3 linked regions of the Xenopus tropicalis genome follow. The protein of the gene in region 3 interacts with the protein of the main gene of each other region in a biochemical or structural test. Links are inferred from orthologs where the notes say so. Each region holds a gene or a part of one and is shown on either strand. Other genes may lie near its edges. The genes, in order: scn5a, rps6ka1 and ptpn3.

Region 1 (3,654 bases), about 62 Mb from region 3:
TGGCACATCCCTTGATTATGGCCAAATCCACTTTGGGCTTCTTGTAAGGGGCTTATACTTAGGGTTCGGTTTCACAGGGACATCTATGTACTTTCTTGCCCTTACTAACCCTCTCCCGTCTTAATTGCAGTACAATAATCCCCCCCCAGTCCCAAGTTCAGGTGGGCCCAGACAACATACTGCCTCTACAATTCTGCTGCCCTAGGCCTGGTCTTTTGTGGACTTTCCACAAATGAGGGCCTGACAATAGTAGGACTATTGAAGGCTTTAAGGAAGCTTGTTTGGCTTCTTCTAAGAGAATCATAACACTACAGGGGAGCTATGGGAAAGGTTATATACCTAGAGTAACTGAACGGCTCAGTTTGGGTTGCCAAATACCAACCAAGGCCAATATTATAAATTTAATGGCAATGTACTTGTTATAAATAATGAATTTGCAACAGCCTGCCTCCAATCCACTCCCAGCCTGCCCCTTTCTAGCTTTCATACTCACCAAACCCTCTTTGGATTCCATGCTGGATGATGAAACTTGAAGTTGTTGCTCTGCCCCTGTGATGTCACAACCCTTCCCTATTGCATCATGATCCACCCCCATTTGTGCCGTTCCCCCCACTTGGCTGGTACAGATATTATAAAAAGATGGTAAACCTAACCTCAATCAGTGCAACAGTGAAACAGCAAGCTTAGGTAATGGCACCTCCATATTGGCCATCAGGTAAGAGGAAAACAATCGCCATGGTAATATTAGCCATTAAACTAGTATAAAGGGAAAAAAGGGGTCCGTGGGCCTTTAATGCTGAAGGCCGAGCCCATCATATGTGACATTCTGTTCGATTCTGGCTTCTGGCTGACAGCACCAACATTCCCATGGCAGTGTTCCCTAGGTCATTCTAAAGCTGAATGTCATTCCGTTAGGCAGGCAGTGGCTCCCAGCAGAACTGGAAATCTTGGTTGGCGAGACAGTCTGGAGTTATTCTACAGCCACTCTGGAGAGACCCTCGCATTCGCTTCTTGTCCGCTCTCCAAAATCTCTCATTTATTGTAGTGTGTTCTGAATTAACTTTTATTGGCTGTGATTACCCTGCGCATATGCAAAAGGGCTCCAAATGCACCGGACACAGCGGCTTGCTTAAAACTCGATTTTTATTACTCCATTTAAAAACAATACGCCTGACGCGTTTCGTGTAAATATACACTTAATCATAGTGATTAAGTGTATATTTACACGAAACGCGTCAGGCGTATTGTTTTTAAATGGAGTAATAAAAATCGAGTTTTAAGCAAGCCGCTGTGTCCGGTGCATTTGGAGCCCTTTTGCATATGCGTGATTTCGCCTTCCCCAGCTACAGGTTCGGGGCTCTGAGCACCTGAACCACTTCTGAACAACGGTGAGTTCTTTGCATTTAGGATTTCACATTGTGAGAGCTGATATGATGGTGTTGGGAATTTGACCTATATCAACTGTGAGACAGATCCGGGGTTTATACACCCGGATCTCTCTTTTGTATTTGGTACGTTTTATTTACTTGATTTCCTGACATTTGAGACATTTAGGTTAAATTAATTGAGCCATTTCTAAGTTTAGATTACTACCATTTCTTAGTTTGTAGTTTATTGTGATTACCCTGCGAGCTAGCCTTAGCTTTTGGGGAAATAATAAGTATTGTCCTAATGGAATATTAATTGTTACGCAACACACGTCTTCGTTTTGCAATTATGATATTTGATATTCTATGTACCTATTTCATTCTGGAATTGTAATACTGTCTCTTTTCTGGAATATAAAAGGGACATGGGTGGGGCGAGGACCCTGAATATTCCAAAGCAAGACCAATTGTGTCGTTTGTACATTGACAGAAACAGTAGAACCCAGATTTTACGTTTCTGGAAATGGCGCCATTTTTTTACGGTCCCTTTTTTCCCGGATCTTATTTTTTCCTGGAATTTATGCGGTTTTTATGCCGTCCCCTGGGAAACTTAAACTCTGTGAAAACATTGGCTAATTTGCCTTTACAGAAAGGGTTTAGACATTTCAACTCACATTTCCATTACACAGAGGCCCCCACTAGTCCAATAAATAGTGACTGTCTATGGTATATTACAGCAGCCCCTCCGGCATTTGCCAGACTCCACAAAATGGCAGTTTGGGCTTGGTAACCCAATAATATGGTAGGTAGAAAAAAAAATCTAAATAAACTTGGAATGACATGTCTTTAATGAAATCTAGAAATCTAGGGGCACACAATTGTTCTGATGTTTAAGCCTATGTGAAGATGATGATGGTTCAGTCACCTTTGCACAATAGTAATTGAATACAAAGAGGAGGAGATGGAACTGGGAGCATATTTGTCTATAAATAAATAATGTTGGATTATAGTGGGGGAACCTATTGCAATCTGATTGGGAGTTGTATTTATTATAAGGTTTTGTATAAAGCCAATATATCTGCTATGACTTATTCCTTTGCTTCTCCTTGGTCCTTCTAGGAAGTGCCCTGATGGGTTTATTTGCATGAAGACTGGCAGAAACCCAAATTATGGCTACACCAGTTTTGATACGTTTGGCTGGGCATTTCTTTCCCTATTCCGCCTCATGACGCAGGACTATTGGGAGAACTTATATCAACAGGTATGAACTTAACAACTCAACTTCAATCCTTACTTAAGCTATTGCAGGTCTGCTCCTCATTTGTGAGGGGGGGTTCCCTGAATTCTATCCAAGGAGGGGACCCTTCTGCAGATTTTCTGATTCCTTAGAGAGCGCTAGCAGGGAACAGAGTAATTCCACCTTCTATACTGGGTCATACCGAAGCCCCCCTGCTTCCCAAGGCACCCCTACCTGGCTGGGAACTAATACTCCCACCTATACTGACCCTGCCCATCAGCTATGGCCTTTACATACATGGACTTCTATCTCCCCTTATAACTGCTTATGTTTTACCAAAATATTATCCCCATCTGTAAGTTATAAGGATATAATTGTTGTTTCAGACTCTCCGAGCAGCAGGGAAGACATACATGATCTTTTTCGTCTTCGTCATCTTTTTGGGTTCTTTTTACCTTGTAAATTTGATCCTGGCCGTAGTGGCTATGGCGTATGAAGAGCAGAACCAAGCCACCATTGCCGAAGCAGAAGCGAAAGAGAGGGAATTCCAGCAAGCCATGGAGCAATTAAAGAAAGAACAAGAGGTTAGCACATGCTCACACACTAAATCTTCCTTGACACCATCTATCTATCCCTGTACCCCAGGGTCAGACTAGCCTACTGGGATACTGGGAAGAACCCCAGTGGCCCCCGATCCAGGTGGGCCCTGCTGACTGCCCACAAGCCCCAGGTACCCCAGTCCAACACTGCCCTACCCAACCCAAACTACCCAAATGCCACCATCACATAGATTGGCACATTTCATTTTTCTTACTAAAGTTGCCAAGTACTTTATTATCTTTCCTTTATAACCAGGCATTAGCCAGCAAGGGACCAGATGCTGCATCCCACAGTTCCTGTGAAATGTCACCATTTAGCTCTAAAAGTGCCAAAGAGAGGAGAAACAGGAGAAAGAAAAAGAAATCCTCAGAAACGGAAGAGTATGGGGAAGATATGAAGCCCCCCAGGGGTGAGATGGATGAGGAGAGTCTCCGCAAGATGGTAATCCTA
Region 2 (4,111 bases), on a different chromosome or scaffold from region 3:
CAGAAGGAGGTAGAAATCCTATTGTTTCTACCTCCTTACCTACCGATTCAGCCCTGAATGGTGTGTGGCGGATCTTACGATGTTTCGTGCGACCGATGGTCGTACGAAACATCGTCAGATCGCCACGTGTATGGCCACCTTAAATCATGGAACAACAAAGTTGGTGAACAGGGTGCTATGCTACGTATATACATCCATAATGAAGTAAACCTGGTTTTTAGTATTGCTCTTAATTTTGACACCCTTAGAAATTATGCAGAAGTATAATATGAGGTAAACCTTTTTCCCCTTCAGGTGACCTAACTGAAGGAAGAAGTGTTTTAATTTTGACTGTCAGTAATCAGGAAATGTTTATACACGCAGTGCCTCAAACATAAGAACTAAAGTGCAGTTGCCAACTGCAACCAATCATGTCTCTTTCTAACAGTAGTGGACTGTTGAAATCTAATTGCTGATTGCACACAAAACACCACAAACACAAACAGTATTTGAGATGCATTAATTTTCTCTGACAGTCAAAGCTATTAAAGCAGATAGGTATTAATGGCAATTTGCTTTTTTGTAATGTGTGCGTGGTTCATAGTTTGTTCTTTTTATAGCTAGGAGACATACTTTCTTTATCATGCTGAACTGGGTGCGCCTGCGGAGCGATATCTTTTTTTCCATGTTTAGCTAATCCTCCCCCTTGATTTCATTTAACCAGTGTATAGTGTAAACCTTTGTGCACCACTGCCGTTAGCAATGCAATACCTTCTAGTTCTGCACCAGCAAAATCAACACACAGCACCCTGAAATGTTAAAATTTACTCTCTGCCCTTTGCTTTAATAAAGAAAGTGTAATATAATGTGGGGTGTTTTAATTATTGTGGTCTAGTGGAAAGAATCCACTTCAGCATATACACCAAATATATATTTATAAAAGGGAATGGCTAGCGAGTTGCCTAGATAGTGCTTCTACATTTAAGTACTTTCTTAACTGAACAAGCTCAACTATTGAAATAGTATATAAAGGTGTAGGATCCCTTTTCCGGAAACCCGTTATCCAGAAAGTTCCAAATTACGGAAAGGACATCTCCCATAGACTCCATTATAAGCAAATAATTCTAATTTTTAAAAACAATTTCCTTTTTCTCTGTAATTATAAAACAGTACCTTGTACTTGATCTCAACTAAGATATAATTACGGTAATACTTACTGGAGGCAAAACAATCCTATTGGGTTTTAATGACGTTTAAATTATTTCTTAAGGTCCCCATACACGGGCCAACTATAGCTGCCGATATCGGTCCCTTGGACCGATTCGGCAGCTAATCGGCCCGTGTATGGGGAGAGCCGAGCAGCCTGGCCGACCGATATCTGGCCTGAAATTGGCCAGATCTCGATCGGGCAGGTTAGAAAATCCGGTCGGATCGGGGACCACATCGGCTCGTTGATGCGGTCCCCGATCCGACTGCCCCATTGCCGCCCACATAATCCGATCGTTTGGCCCCAGGGCCAAACGATCGGATTATTTTTTTTTTTACCTAAAGGCTCCCCGATATCGCCCACCCGTAGGTGGGGATATTGGGGGAAGATCCGCTCGCTTGGCGACATCGCCAAGCGAGCGGATCTGCTCGTGTATGGCCACCTTTAGTAGACTTAAGGTATGGAGATCCAAATTACAGAAAGATCCCTTATCCGGAATGCCCCAGGTCCCCAGCATTCTTGATAACAGGTTCAATACCCGAACCTGCATTCCAAATATTTTAGATGTGCTAATCTTTAATTCAGTTGGGATCTTTTTTTTTTTTTTTTTTTTTTTTTTGAAGCATTAAGGAAATTTAGTTCATGTTCAAGTCACACTGTGTTCTAAGGCACACAAGATCTTACAAAATGAATATTGTATTAAAAAGGGATTTATTGCAATATAGTTATTGAAATAAAAGCTCTCAATCTCTCAAAACATAATTAATGAACACAAATGTCAATGTATAGGAGGACATCAACCTGCGTTCTACAGCTGCTTGCTAACTACAGTCGAACTGTGGGGGACGGCTGGAACTGCAGATTCAGCAACAGGTGGATTGCTACAGAATACAGTTCCACATTAAATATATACCAAGATCAGTCAATGGCTGTTGATCAGCGGCTTCAACAGCAGGAGGGATGTGCGACCTGTGACCACAAGTTCTGCAGTAGGGAAACATAAGATGTGCAGCCTCTAATTGAATTCCGCGGTGGGGGGCTCAGAAATAGTAAATATACACCACCTCTGAAAGAAGTGCATGACTGAAATTGTGACGAATATCGGCAGCCCATAAAGAGCTGAAGGCCATCAGGTAACACGCACAGTCTTTCTCTTATGAAGAGACGCAAGAGAATGCGGCAGCAACACATACACACGAACCCATGCTATTCTAAAAGACCTATTCTAACCGTAAGTAGCTTTGATTGGTTGTAATCAGAAAACACTGCTACCTCCCCCCCTCCAACATTTTCTGACTGCTTCAGCTTCGAAACCTCGTCCGCAACTGACAGTTCTCACCTCCGTCTCCTCATGAACCACCTCCACCTCGGGCCAAAGATCCACTAGTTGTGCCAGCGGCATCTTCAACGCGTTCTCTCAGGTGCTACACAACGTAAAGCAGGGACACCGCTGCGCACCCTGCACGGCTTGAAACGCAAAATAATTAAATACGAAGATTCCAGCTTTCAGTCACTGTTTAAGTTACTATCGACAATTATTTATGATACGTAGGGTCTGCGTAGTCCAGGTCCTTTTTTTCCGCTATAACGCCTGCACCTCTCGCACTTAGTCTACACTACTCGGTGTCCGGCGACAGACTGACCGCTTGACTCCTCCTAACTCACTGACAGAAGGGCACGTGCCGCCCTGCCCGCCTACTATTGGCTCCTCCCGGTTTCTAAGCTGTCAATTGGCCCCTTGTTCAGAAAAGGCGGTGTTTCTGGTACTAACCCATTCCGCATTCCCTCAGGTGAATCTTTGCTTTTACTACTCCGAAGATTTAAGCGGGAAAGAATGGGCAACGTTTCGCTAAGTGCGCCATCTTGTGGCATGAGGCGTAAGAATAGTACGGTTCTGAGTGAGACAATCGCTTTTATATCTTGTACAACACTTAGGGGTACATTTACTAAGACACGAATCTGAACCGAATTGGAAAAATTCCGACTTGAAAACGAACATTTTGCGACTTTTTCGTATTTTTTGCGATTTTTTCAGCGTCTTCACGACTTTTCGGAAATTGTCGCGACTTTTTCGTTACCAATACGATTTGCGCGAAAAAACGCGAGTTTTTCGTAGCCATTCCGAAAGTTGCGCAAAATCGCCCGATTTTTTCGTAGCGTTAAAGCTTGCGCGAAAAGTTGCGCAACTTTTAACGCTACGAAAAATGGCCAGATTTTGCGCAACTTTCGGAATGGCTACGAAAAACTTGCGTTTTTTTCGCACAAATCGTATTAGTAACGAAAAAGTCGCGACATTTTTCCGAAAAAATCGCAAAATACCGATCATTACGAAAAAAATGCAATTGGACGCATTCGGCCCGTTCGTGGCTTAGTAAATGTGCCCCTTAGGGGCCGTTCATTAAACCACGCTTTTTTTTTTTTTTTTTGAGAAAAAAAAAAATCAAAATTTTTGTAATGCCCACGATAATTTCGTTAAAATTCCACAACTTTTTCGTGGGTTTAGTTAACTTCCACAAAAAGTCATATTTTTCACAAAGACTACAACCATTTCGGAATTCATTCAAGCTTTGGTATCGTGACTTTCTTTTGGCCAGGTTGGATCTGTAGAGTGCCGTTGAGTCCTAAGGAAGACTTCCAAAATCATATGTAGCCCACTTTAGCTGGCAGTGCTGCTACTGGTGCCCTCTTGGCTTACTTCTGGCGCAGAAGTCGTGAGCCCCCACTTACTATGGGGGTAACAGGGAGTCTTCACTGTTAATGGCATGCCTCCACCCAGGGGTGATGTGGGACTATAACTCCCACCCTGGGACTTGATATTACACTGTAACCTTTGTCAGGGACTCCACACAACTCCTGGCTCCTTGCCCCTCCCATGGGGTAGTAGCTTACCGGCAAGTAGGTGATCCCTTGTGCAGGAAAGAGCCA
Region 3 (3,654 bases):
ATGATACAAAGCTTGTCTTAATAACAGTGTTTACAAAATGGCAGCTGCCTGTTTGCTGTGATTGTGTACTTGCAAGACTGAGGGACACAAGCTTTAACCCTTTTAGTGCCACAGGACGTAGAATCTACGTCCTGTGTATCAAAGTACCTAAGTGCCACGGGACGTAGATTCTACGTCCTGCTGCACTTCCGGATTTGGGAGTGGAGAAGCGGCTTTTCAAGCCGTTCCTTCGCTCCCCGCTCGTTCCCCAGCCTCTAGACAACAGTCAGAGGGGGGGAACGAGTGGCCCCTGGGTCGCGATCACCCAGGGGCCTCATAGGACATACCTGCCATCCACGTGGCTTTCCCCAGCAGTTGTCTCCCTTCTGCAGCTTCCCCCTCTGGCCCCCCTGCTTCCTGCACCGCCCCCTCACATGAGCTGCTGCTGCTGTGCCAGATCCTGACCTTCTAGACCCCAAGTAAGTGGCAAATACACACACAAACACACAATCACACACTTATTACACTAATACACACTTATACTCACACTTACACACACACATGCATTTTTGGGAGGTTTTCACACATTCATAGCACTTACAGAAAACTCACACTTACTTGCACACACACATGCACACAAAACACATTTTACCATGTGTACATACACACTTACACACTGCAGATATTATTAGGCAAAAAAAAATTATTTTAGTGATTTTTTTTTTATTTTTATCAATTTTATTGCTTTTTACATTGTTCTTTGTTACTTGTCTTTGCACATGGACATTTTGTCTGCTGTATTTCAATTTGGCATCCTCTGTACCCCACATAGTTCAGTAAATCTATGTATATAGGGCATCAAACTGTTCAGTAGACCCCTGGCATTCATATTTAGAATGTTTTATGTTGATACGGTACAAAATGTGTGGGTACATAATGGGGTAAAATGCAAGCTTTGTGACAATTTTCAGAAATGTCATAAAAACCGTTCTGTTTAGCATAGCTTTGTAGTTTGGTAGTTTGCAGTAGAAAGTTGTATTTACCCATTTTTGTTTTGTCAGAATGTGTACTTTTGGAAAATATATGGTTTTCTAGGGTGTCCATACTGTTAGGGGGTCTTTGGCACATAATATACATACCGAGTGCAAAATTTGCACGAGCCGGAGCGTCTTATGTGAAAATTCATATGCACTATTTTTATTTGGGTGCCCCTGTAGTTTGGTAAATCTAAGCATATAGGGCATCAAACTGTTCAGTAAACCCCTGGTGTTCACATTTAGAATGTTTTATGTTGATACGGTACAAAATGTGGGGGTACATAATGGGGTAAAATGCAAGCTTTGTGACGATTTTCAGAAATGTAAAAAAAAACGTTCTGTTTCGCATAGCTTTGTAGTTTGCTGTAGAAAGATGTATTTACCCATTTTTGTTTTGTCAGAATGTGTACTTTTGGAAAATGTATAGTTTTCTAGGGTCTCCTTACTGTTAGGGGGTCTTATGGCACATAATGCACATGCCGGTAGCTTATATTGCAGTGTATACACTTTGTATGCACTAACTTCCTTTTGGGGTCTCTAAATGCCATATACATCGGTGATCCTATGCACAATGGGCATCAAACTGTTCAGTGGACCCTTGGCTTTCATATTTCCTTTTGGGGTCTCTAAATGCCATATACATCGGTGATCCTATGCACAATGGGCATCAAACTGTTCAGTGGACCCTTGGCTTTCATATTTAGGGTATGTTTTCTTGGTACCTAATGTTATGTGGGAGATAAGGTGCTTGAAAGTGGAAGATTTGATGTGATTTTCAGGTATTTCACCAAAACTGGCAATTTTGGGAAAGAACTGCGACTCTGTAGTTTGGAGTAGAAAGATATGGGTACCAATTTTGAATTCATCCGAATGTGTACTTTCCAAAAATATATGGTTTTGGGGGGTCAATGTATTTTTTTGTGTTTTTACCCCACAGAAAATGCAGTAAACGTGTTGAATTTCCAGTAGCTAAAGAGACCTCTGGGGCAATTTCTATGCACTAACTTCCTTATGGGGGTCTCTAAATGCCAGATACATTAGTGATCCTATGCACAATGGGCATCAAACTATTCAGCTGACCCTTGGCTTTCATATTTAGGGTGTGTTTTCTTGGTACCTAATGTTATGTGGGAGATAAGGTGCTTGAAAGTGGAAGATTTGATGTGATTTTCAGGTATTTCATCAAAACTGGCAATTTTGGGAAAGCATTGCGACTCTGTAGTTTGGAGTAGAAAGACATGGGTACCAATTTTGAATTCGCCCGAATGTGTAAAGTGGAAGATTAGAGGCGATTTTTTAGAATTTTCATAATTTTTTATAAAAAATGCTAAATTCAGTAAAGCATTGCGGTTTGGTACTTAGGAGTTGGAAGACAGTTACCCATTTCGGATTCGTCAGAATGTGTACTTTTCAAAAATGTATGGTTTCCTGGGGTAAACCTAATGTTTCAGGATTTTTGGCTTTGGAATCTAAAGTATGCCGTATTCTGCTGTAATGCTTTGAAAATGTATACATTTATACATATCAGGTATTGGCACGTTTGGGAGACATGAGGCTTTCCAAATCAGTTGAATTTTTGTCCATAAAATAAAATATGTTTCTGGTATAAATCCCTATATCATGAAAAATAGCATTTTTTTCTTTTTTTTTGTATTTCAAGCTCTAAATCTTGTTCCAGAAGTGGAAATACACAAAAACACAAAAAGCATATTTGGAAAGCTCAGGTTCTCCTGAAAAAACAATATATAGTTTGCCTACCTAAACTTAACCCTGCCCCCAGTAAAAGCCCCTAAATTGAGAGAGCACAGAATGTTTACAAAATGTCTGGCACTGAGGGGAACCGAAATGTCAAATTCTGCTGGCACTTAAAGGGTTAAATAATTTATGTAGCCCAAGTAAAGTTTATTTTCCTCAACTAACATGATAAAATAGGATTTGTAATTATTTCTTAAGGTCCCCTTTAAAGAATATTACGTTGTGATATGCAATATTTGTTCTAAATTGTGCCTTTTTTTTTTTTTTAAAACAAACATTTCTCCAATAAACTTTTCATGCAAATCAAACTCCTTTTATATGGATTATATCAGATCTCTGAAAGCATGTCTTTTGTCAACACAAGACCACATTCTCTATTGTCTGACAGTGTCAAGCACAGCACAACTCTTACTGATGTGGGGGTCAATTAGGTGAATTATTAATTCATACAAAATGATAGATGCTTATTATATTGGTAAATGTTAAACCAAAGATGATATTTCTCAAATTACCTCAAATTGAATGAGCACAACTCCAGTTTCCAAGCCTTTTGAAAGCTGCTCCATTGATCCCTGTAATGTGTCACCATATTCCGAGCAAGTAGGAAGAATTGACGGTGGAAAAAAGGTGAAGTCAGCATCATCTTCTGACTTTGTTTTACCAAGGTGTCTAACAACTATAAGGCAACAGAATAAACACAGATGCTATCACTAACAGACAAACAGGGCTTACTATCATGATCAGTTCAGGACAGCTTGAAATTTTGTGTGAACCCTGTTTTATTTGCATCTAAAGGCTTTAAAATAACTGAAAGCTACCCAAATTGCATCTGAGCCTTTGATGTGAATTTTTCCTTCCAAGCTTTAGACATTCAAAACAAGAT

What was found.
Region 1: the proteins of ptpn3 (region 3) and scn5a form a complex in vitro, tested with the Homo sapiens proteins (2 studies listed by IntAct, with this or other methods). The link is inferred for Xenopus tropicalis from reciprocal best matches to the Homo sapiens genes PTPN3 and SCN5A.
Region 2: the proteins of ptpn3 (region 3) and rps6ka1 interact in a test that uses a peptide from one of them, tested with the Homo sapiens proteins (2 studies listed by BioGRID and IntAct). The link is inferred for Xenopus tropicalis from reciprocal best matches to the Homo sapiens genes PTPN3 and RPS6KA1.

What each region holds. Positions count from the first base shown.
Region 1 is NC_030682.2:13,563,077-13,566,730, forward strand, and holds part of scn5a (sodium channel protein type 5 subunit alpha), read left to right. Parts: intron 1-2,486; coding exon 2,487-2,628; intron 2,629-2,990; coding exon 2,991-3,188; intron 3,189-3,459; coding exon 3,460-3,645; intron 3,646-3,654. UniProt on the Homo sapiens protein: Pore-forming subunit of Nav1.5, a voltage-gated sodium (Nav) channel that directly mediates the depolarizing phase of action potentials in excitable membranes.
Region 2 is NC_030678.2:77,585,343-77,589,453, reverse strand, and holds the start of rps6ka1 (ribosomal protein S6 kinase alpha-1), read right to left. Parts: upstream 2,868-4,111; 5' UTR 2,589-2,867; coding exon of another isoform or gene 2,540-2,588; coding exon 2,526-2,539; intron 1-2,525. UniProt on the Homo sapiens protein: Serine/threonine-protein kinase that acts downstream of ERK (MAPK1/ERK2 and MAPK3/ERK1) signaling and mediates mitogenic and stress-induced activation of the transcription factors CREB1, ETV1/ER81 and NR4A1/NUR77, regulates translation through RPS6 and EIF4B phosphorylation, and mediates cellular proliferation, survival, and differentiation by modulating mTOR signaling and repressing pro-apoptotic function of BAD and DAPK1.
Region 3 is NC_030682.2:75,273,071-75,276,724, reverse strand, and holds part of ptpn3 (tyrosine-protein phosphatase non-receptor type 3), read right to left. Parts: intron 3,448-3,654; coding exon 3,284-3,447; intron 1-3,283.